Neurospora crassa OR74A: one gene and its partner. The protein of the gene in region 2 interacts with the protein of the main gene of each other region in a biochemical or structural test. Links are inferred from orthologs where the notes say so. Each region holds a gene or a part of one and is shown on either strand. Other genes may lie near its edges.

What was found. The genes of interacting proteins can lie anywhere in the genome.
Region 1: of the proteins of cdc28 (region 2) and bni1, one has a biochemical effect on the other in vitro, tested with the Saccharomyces cerevisiae proteins (3 studies listed by BioGRID). The link is inferred for Neurospora crassa OR74A from reciprocal best matches to the Saccharomyces cerevisiae genes CDC28 and BNI1.

The regions. Positions count from the first base shown.
Region 1 is NC_026505.1:4,767,760-4,771,751, forward strand, and holds the start of bni1 (cytokinesis protein sepA), read left to right. Parts: upstream 1-1,192; 5' UTR 1,193-1,739; intron 1,740-2,157; 5' UTR 2,158-2,535; coding exon 2,536-3,992. UniProt on the Saccharomyces cerevisiae protein: Required for the assembly of F-actin structures, such as actin cables and stress fibers. Nucleates actin filaments. Binds to the barbed end of the actin filament and acts as a leaky capper, slowing both polymerization and depolymerization.
Region 2 is NC_026506.1:1,088,741-1,092,762, forward strand, and holds cdc28 (cell division control protein 2), read right to left. Parts: upstream 2,801-4,022; 5' UTR 2,084-2,800; coding exon 2,047-2,083; intron 1,963-2,046; coding exon 1,278-1,962; intron 1,196-1,277; coding exon 931-1,195; 3' UTR 345-930; downstream 1-344. Other genes in the region: NCU09779 (oxidoreductase), read left to right, coding at 3,484-3,760, 3,820-4,022. UniProt on the Saccharomyces cerevisiae protein: Cyclin-dependent kinase that acts as a master regulator of the mitotic and meiotic cell cycles. Required to drive the G1-S transition. More than 200 substrates have been identified. Substrate specificity is in part regulated by the bound cyclin protein.

The DNA of each region.
Region 1 (3,992 bases), on a different chromosome or scaffold from region 2:
TAACATATACAAATGCGGCACGTAATCGCGTGCGGAAAGGTGTACCTGCGCTAACTGCGCGCGCAGTACATACTGTAGCCACCTGGGCTTGACAGCCCAGACGTTGTGGAACAGTGCACTGTAGAGTTCCTGGACTGGGCTCACCCGGCCCTTCCATGTATCGGGTCTCTGTGGCATGGCCCGACTGAGCGAGGCCCGGGCCCAAAATAGCAACGGAACGACACCCTCAAGGTTGATGAGATGCAGAAACCTAACAAACTGCCCTGATGATCCAGGGGTATCGACGGCCTCATGTAGGGATCTCAGAGGATGTCTTTCCAACCAACAACATCTGTTCCTATACAGTTTTGGACCTCCACAAGTGTGTTTCTCGCTCATACCTCTAGCTTGAGGACTTTTATTCTTTTGTCTTCAGATCATCTTGACCTCTTTTGGTTGGGATAGTGAGACGCAGGGATGATGATACTCGGATAGAACGGTGATGATTGGGCAAGGGATCATGAGCCAATCTTAATACCAGTTCGATGTGATTCCATCATATCAATCTGCCCCCACCAGGGGCAGTTTGGGAAGGTGGAGGATTAAGCCAAGTCATAGTTCCAGCCGCTATGCCTACTTATGCTATTGTATGGATGTACGCAGTACATAGTAATGTGGACATATATGGCGCCGCTGAATGTGCCACCAATGCATACGAAGATGACCTTTATCACCATTATGCGTATTGTTTCAGGTTGACCAGCGGCCTTTTCAGTGCTCAGTTGACAAGTTTCTATCATTGAGTTTCTTTCATCCTATTCTGTGCCGATTTGTGGTTCCATCACTTATATGAACCATCGGTTAGGTTCAGATGATGGATGTTTCGGATGGTGGATGGGAAAAAGAAAGAACGGAAGAAACCCGGACAGTCCCTGCGTCTTGACCACTAACAAATTCCCCGCCTGTGATTCAAGACATCAGGGGTGATGATGTGCCCAGCTAAGCCGCTTTCAGCGCATCGAGACCCCCTTTGCCGTGATGTTGAGGTCTCCCACCAGAAGGTGCAGCTGTTAAGAGAGTGCACGGTGCACCCTCCCGCGCCATGCTGGAGTTGCCCCTGCGATTGCCGAGCGTTGTTAGGTTCGCGTTCACACGGCAAGGAACCCCAACCTCACTCTCTCTCAAGTGATCTCTCATTCGGCTCATTCAACCACTTCACCTCAGTCCAGTCTCGCTGCAACTTCTGAATGGTCATCTGCCTCTGCCTCTCCTTTTCCCGAGCTTGTCTCTATAGCTGATAATTCGCGGGTGAGCCAGCCACCACCGGACAACGCTCCACCCGTCGTCGTTGCCATTGCTCCTTTTCTTTCCCAATCATCGCTCATAGAAGACCACCATTCATTTGCCGCCCGATCTCAAATCAACCTTCAATTTCGTCCGAGTGGGTAACTAAGCCCGTCCAAGACAGGCCCTCCAGTGCCCCACGCGCGCGCGCGCTTCCACCCCAAAGTTAGGTACCGCCAACGACCTGGGCCAAATCCACCAGACCCCTCGAACGGGAGAGTCCGTCCCTGACGAGCCCTGACGGTTTGACCAACGAACGGCATTTTGTTCTTCTCCTAGTTCAGCCTCGGCGTAGCTGTCTAAGTACTCTGGCACTTTTGGTAGTGAGCGAGCTGAGCGTCGCATACCTACCTACTCATCACCCCTCCTTGCCGTCAGCCAGGTCGCCAGTATACTGCCTCTACACTACACACTAGGTAGGTAACTACAGTACTCTATCTATACTTCCAACACGAGATCCAGAAGTCGAAGTCGACGACATCCTACACTACTACCTAGGTATTTCCAGGTTTCGCCGGCTACGCTACACGGACAGACGCGGGTACGGATATTTGCGCCCGCTCGTACATTTGCGACTTGACCCCTTTGACTTTCACTTGAGTTCCATTCCCTTCGAAGATCTGGATTGTATTGCCAACACGGTCTCGATGCAGTCTAGTTTGGGTCAGCACACATCCATACACATCTCGCCCGAGTGCGCTCATCCCACCAGCTAGCAGTGCTAGCAGCTAGCCTATCTCGAGGCCCGCCTCTGCGCAAAAGCTTGCCCGGGCACGGCTACCCTCCGAACTCCTCAACTTGACCTCATGCTAAAAACACCAATGGTTCATGCAGCAGGAAGGCCATGCTCACCAACCGTTATTGCCCGCAAAGAACATGATGCGATCCACCCAGGGCCTCAGACACCGAGTCCATTGACGGCATTTGCTCCGTATCCATTTCAACGCACTCATTTACCAATTGACCCACCCGCGCATTGATTGCCTATACAACTACCCACTCCGCGCCTCGAGACGAGACCCGACCCGGCCCGGCCCCTCGACACCCCTCGACGCCCCTCTACAGCGATCCAGATACCCACGATACCCGCTCGCCTATTGCTGAGGAACCACCCCCGAACAACACGTAGGCAGCTTGCGCTGCTGGGACTGTACTCTGGTGTACTGCCCTGCCGGTAGCGAAGCGGCCGCTTCACACATCCCGTCCCGCGCCATGTCCTCCCACGACAAGAATGGGAGGGCTACCTCCTCGAGCGGCAAGGCCTCCTCCTTCTTCTCGAGAGCCACTGGCAAGAACAAGGCCGACAAACGGAACGCAAGCGATGAGGGTGGCCGATACCTTGCCGCCGACAACGACGCCGCCAGCACCCATACCGCACGCAGTTCGCGCCATTACCGGGACTCGTCTGTAATATCGCTGGACCGTCCCGACACGCCCGAATCTGGCCTCAACATGACGGCAGGGGTCGTCACGACGATCCCCTATGACCCTGTTTCCCCCGACAATCGCTCCCCCGTCGCCCTCGACCACCTTCCCAGGCCCGACCAAATGCCCCTAAGGCGAGAGCTAGTACCGCACCACCTCAACAAAGGCACTGGTGACTTCCACCAGTATCCCACCATCGACCAAAGCCCAAGCTCCCCCTATAATGGGCAGTCACCCAGCGCATCAAGTTCGCGCTCAACTCTCGCTACTGCTAACATCACCATGGCCTCCACGGGCCGCCAGGCCCAGTTTCAGCAATGGGGACCACCGAGAGAGAGCAGTTTGCCCGGGTACAATTCCAGAGGCCACTCGTACATGACAACCCGCAGTTCGGGCGACAATGCCAGCATCTACTCAGGTAGGGACGGACACTACCAAGAAGCCCCAGGAACCAGCCATCGCTCATCCAGGATAGGACTCCCTAGTACTTCGTCTCAGTCATCCTACCTTTCTCCCCATGCCCATAAGGACAGAGATACCCAGCGGTTAACCAAGGTCGCTGCCGGCCACCAGGGCTCCGAAGGATTCAACTTTCCCAAGCCAGACGATGACAATGTGATTGAACAGATGTTCATAAACCTGATGCAAAAGCGAGGATGGCACAACCTCCCGGACCAGGCCAAGCGCCAGATGATCGCATACCCCGCCGCGAAGAAATGGACCTTGATTTACCAGGATCGACTCACCGAGTGGCAGGGCGAACAGAAGCGCAGACAGACGGCCAAGATTGGCCAATACAGCAATGTCGATATTACCCAATCCTCCGATGACGAAGGCAGCCCCGAGTGGTATGTGCGCAAGGTCATGGAAAACGCTCTGGACAGCAAAGGGCTCGGAGGACTCGAAGTCAACCTTCGGACACAGCAGATCGGCTGGGTCAAGCGCTTCATCGACTGTCAGGGACAGATCGCCTTGACCAATGTCCTGCTAAAGATGAACCGAAAGACTGCCTATGGACCTGCTCAGCCGGATAATGGAAGATTGGATAAGAATTTGGACCGAGAATATGACATTGTCAAATGTTTGAAGGCTCTTATGAACAACAAGTTTGGCGCAGACGATGCGCTAGCTCACCAACAGGTTATTGTGGCTCTGGCCACCTCCCTTATATCACCTCGGCTCACCACCCGGAAGCTTGTCAGCGAAGTCCTGACATTCCTCTGCCATTGGGGCGAAGGCAAGGG
Region 2 (4,022 bases):
ATCTGTCTTGTTGAGTGGTTCCCAATCCACTGACGTGATGCTCTTTTGATAGCTGAAATGTTGGGAGCCAACCGCTTGGTACAGGCTTGAGTGAGCTAGGCTTTTCTGAAAGCATTCTTCATTAGCGCTGTCAGCATGACGATGTCTGCAGTCCCATGTGCTGAGGTACCATTTGCTCAGTCTGATAAAAGCGAATGCCTACAATGTTGGGGGACATGTAATGCGGTGGTGTGAGCGCTTGTCGGAAAGAAAGACAGCCAAGAAGGCAACATGAGAAATCGATCAATGGCAACATAAATCCGAGCAGGGAGAAAGAAATGGAGCACATCAAAGATGAAGGAACAGCCGACATCACTTCGCATCTCCAAACGAAGGACCTGTGTTTGGACAGGGGAAAGTATGTACATGCGAGATTTATTGGAACAATGTCTTGCGCCTTTTCCCTGCCTGTGTACAGTACACTTCACACCACAACTCCCTAATATGCACCAGGGCTAACAGAAAGCCCCATCCCTTGAATGCCATTTGCTCTTCCAGATAACACCGAATCGTGTAATACAGAACTCCATTCCAATGTACTTCCTTTACCCATGACCCCTTTGAACGCTGTTCCCTAAAAACACAACCCTACATACAACAAAATGTAGGTATGGGGAATTTGATGTGTCGAATATCATGTTTCCGAGTATCCTGAAAGCAAAGTGGGATGCTATGATATGCTTCAGGTGTGATAATGACAGTTTGTTTCTGTCACCGTTTCGGTGTGTCGACCTCACTCGCTACTGGTAGAATCACAAAGACTGTACCCTTGCCACGAACTGCCCACTTTGAAGTCACCGAGATCCAACCGAACCTAAGCAGCCGGCTGCAAAACTTGGATAGTCGATCTGCTATTGCCTAACGCTCCTGCTTCGACCTTGGCGAACGTCCCTAGGCGTATCTGCTGCTGTCGCGGTATTTGCTCTTTGGCTTGGGGTTGTAGTCTTCAAAGTAAGGGTGATTGCACGCTGCCTTGGCAGAGATTCGGCCAGCAGGGTCGTAGACAAGCATGGATTCAAGTAGCTCAAGACCGACATCGTCGAGGTTTTGGCAAAGTGGTACGTTGTAGTCGCGTACCCACTTGGGGAAAGATGCCTTGAAGTCGGGATAGGAGGTGACGCCGGGCCAGATGTCCTCAGTAGGGGTTCCAAGCAGACTGTTTGGAGGAAAAGAGGTCAGTATAGCGGACTAGGGGAGAAGCAGAAAGGTGCCAAGAAAAGGTAACTGCATAAACGTACCGGAAGATCTTGAAGATCTCGTCAATTTCCGAATCACCAGGGAACAAGGGCTTGCGTGTGCACATTTCGGCAAAGATGCAACCAACGGACCACATATCGACACCGGTCGAGTACTGACGACCACCCAGCAGGATTTCGGGCGCACGGTACCACAATGTGACGACCTCGTGGGTATAAGTACGGAGTGGAACACCAAAGGCGCGGGCGAGACCGAAATCTGCTAGCTTCAAGTTGCCGTCGCGGTCGATGAGCAGGTTCTGGGGCTTGAGATCGCGGTGTAGGACACGGTGGCTGTGGCAGTATCGGACGCCCTCGCAAAGCTGGCTCATGAACTTCTTGATGATATCCTCGCCCAGTCCCAAATTGTGCAGTCCGGCGCCCGTTCCTTCGGGGAGGGCCTTGCCCCTACCACCGTCGCTGACAGGAAGGGCCTCCATGTACTTCTTCAGATCAAGATCGAGGAATTCGAAGACAAGATACAGCTTATGGCCTTGACCGCCGTCGGCGTGGACAATGTTGAGGAGACGCACAATGTTGGGGTCGCGCATCTCCTTGAGCAGCGAGATCTCACGGATGGCGGTAGAGGGGACGCCCTCATCTTCGGCTTCGAGGCGGATCTTCTTGAGGGCGACAATGCGCCCGCTGTTAGCCAAGTCGCGGGCCTTGTAGACGACACCATACGTTCCTATGCGGAAGGTGGAATGTCAGTACGGGACATGGAAGGAAGAGAGCCAAGGTGGAGGGGTCGAAGAAGAAGGGGGTGTTGTACCCTCGCCAATCTTTTCCAGCTTCTGATAGTTCTCCATGGTTGCTCTGTTACCCGTCCAGGCCGCTATACTGAGATGGGTGGTTTGAAAGTCCCTGGAGGGAAAGAATTGACTTTGCCCGGAGTCGTAGAACTACTAGTTGGGGTTGGTGCCTGGTGTTCGTGGTCGTCGTGGTGGGGGACGATTACGACGAACGATGTTGTACCTAGCGCGCTGAAGCACAGTGATTGATGGAAAAGCCCAGAACGAAGCGTGGGGCGGCGGCGGCGGCGGCGGCGGATGGAGAAAGTGACGGCCGTCGAAGGGTCGCCTTCTTGAGATTGATTGATCCTTGGAGAGTCAAGGTCCAGCCAAGGATAGGTGGTGTCCAAAGGGAGCGCAGTGGCGGATTGGTAAACAAAAACGAAAAAAGGTGGAATCGTCCGTCGTTGCCGTCAAAAGGCTACAGTACTAGCTACCGTAAATACTTTGTTTTGGTGTTGACTTTTGGTGGTGATGATGGTGCCGTGAATGGTCGACGGGTCGTCCTGGGCGGAGGGCTGAATGCGAAAGGCCGCTGATGAAAAGGCAATATGATGCAGCGAGCGATGTAATTGTCGTCCGTTGTTCCTGCAACTTCTTGATACTAAGGGACCGTGATGGTGAAGGGACAGAAATCCAAGGAAGGAGAGGCGGTGGACGTGCAAGTGGAAGTTGAGGTTGTGAAGTTGTGGTTGTCGTTCGAGTGTCGGATTTAGAGGGCAGTCCAGGGGGGTGGTCCGCTGTACTGTAGTGCAGTAGGTAGGTTTTATTCCAGACGGGCATCCGAGTGCAGGTGGTTGGAGACGGGACGATTACGTCTTAGACTTGGCGCTTGCAACGGAAATCCGTGTCAACACAAAAAGCGCGGACCGCGACGGCACCATGGAAACCACTCACTGGAGGGACGGACTGCAAGGGAGGAATGAACGCGTCCAAAAAATGCCCGCTTTCCTCGTCGGTAGGTACTCCGAGTTCAAGGTAGGTAGGTAAACTTTCAAGCAATCTAGGTACATATGTACCACCTCTACCTAGTTCTAGTAAGTACTACTACTTGGAGCATTGACTGTACCCGACAGCCCACCAAGATGGGGCAGAATACGTAGGTACCTTCTAGGTAGCCACGATCTCTAACTGTTGACTACCCCTGACTTGTGGCGCCATTCAGAAGCTCCAGCCATTCAGACGCCCAGCCCAGCCTCAGCTCGACGCCCACACATCAATCCATCTCGACCATCCGTCCCGTCTGAAGCTTCACTCGAGTCCCCACAATTTCATCTCACGATACTTCCCTACTCCAAATCCGCAACGTCACACGAGGACTCGGAAGGAGTCAACTTGTATACTCATATCCATTTCTTCGGTCACTTTTCTGTTCTCTTTTTGGATATCTCGCTCAAAAGAACTACCCGACTTTCAAGATGATGGGTGGACACCATGACCTGGATGCGCACGAGCAGCCGTCGGATGAGCTGCGGCTCAAGTGGAAGTCGTTCGCCAAAGTCGACCAGAAAATCGTCATGAACAGCCCCGAGATCGATGACTTGCGCAGTCCCGAAAAAGCCCCCGAGTTTGTGCTCGCTGGCTCCATTCCTACCGAGACTTTGAACAGGTCCTTCAGCTATATCTGCCCCGAAGACTCACCAGAGTTCCGCACAGACAAGGACGCCCCCATCTATTACCATCCTCTCTTGCCTGGTGAACTCAAGATCCTGGACCCCTCTTCCTCACGAATCATTGCTGACCAACCCCAAAAGGTCTCTTGATTCTCCCAAACCTCATTCCCCCCGAGGTCCAAAAGACGCTACTGCGCAACATCATTCACCGCGATCTCAACCAACCCCATCACCAGACCAACATGCATCTCCATTTCAAGCTCCCCTACCCGCCCGTGGATCCCGAAACAGGCCTTCAGGAATCCTTCTTCTCCTACCCTCCAGATTCCGAGACGTGTTTTGAG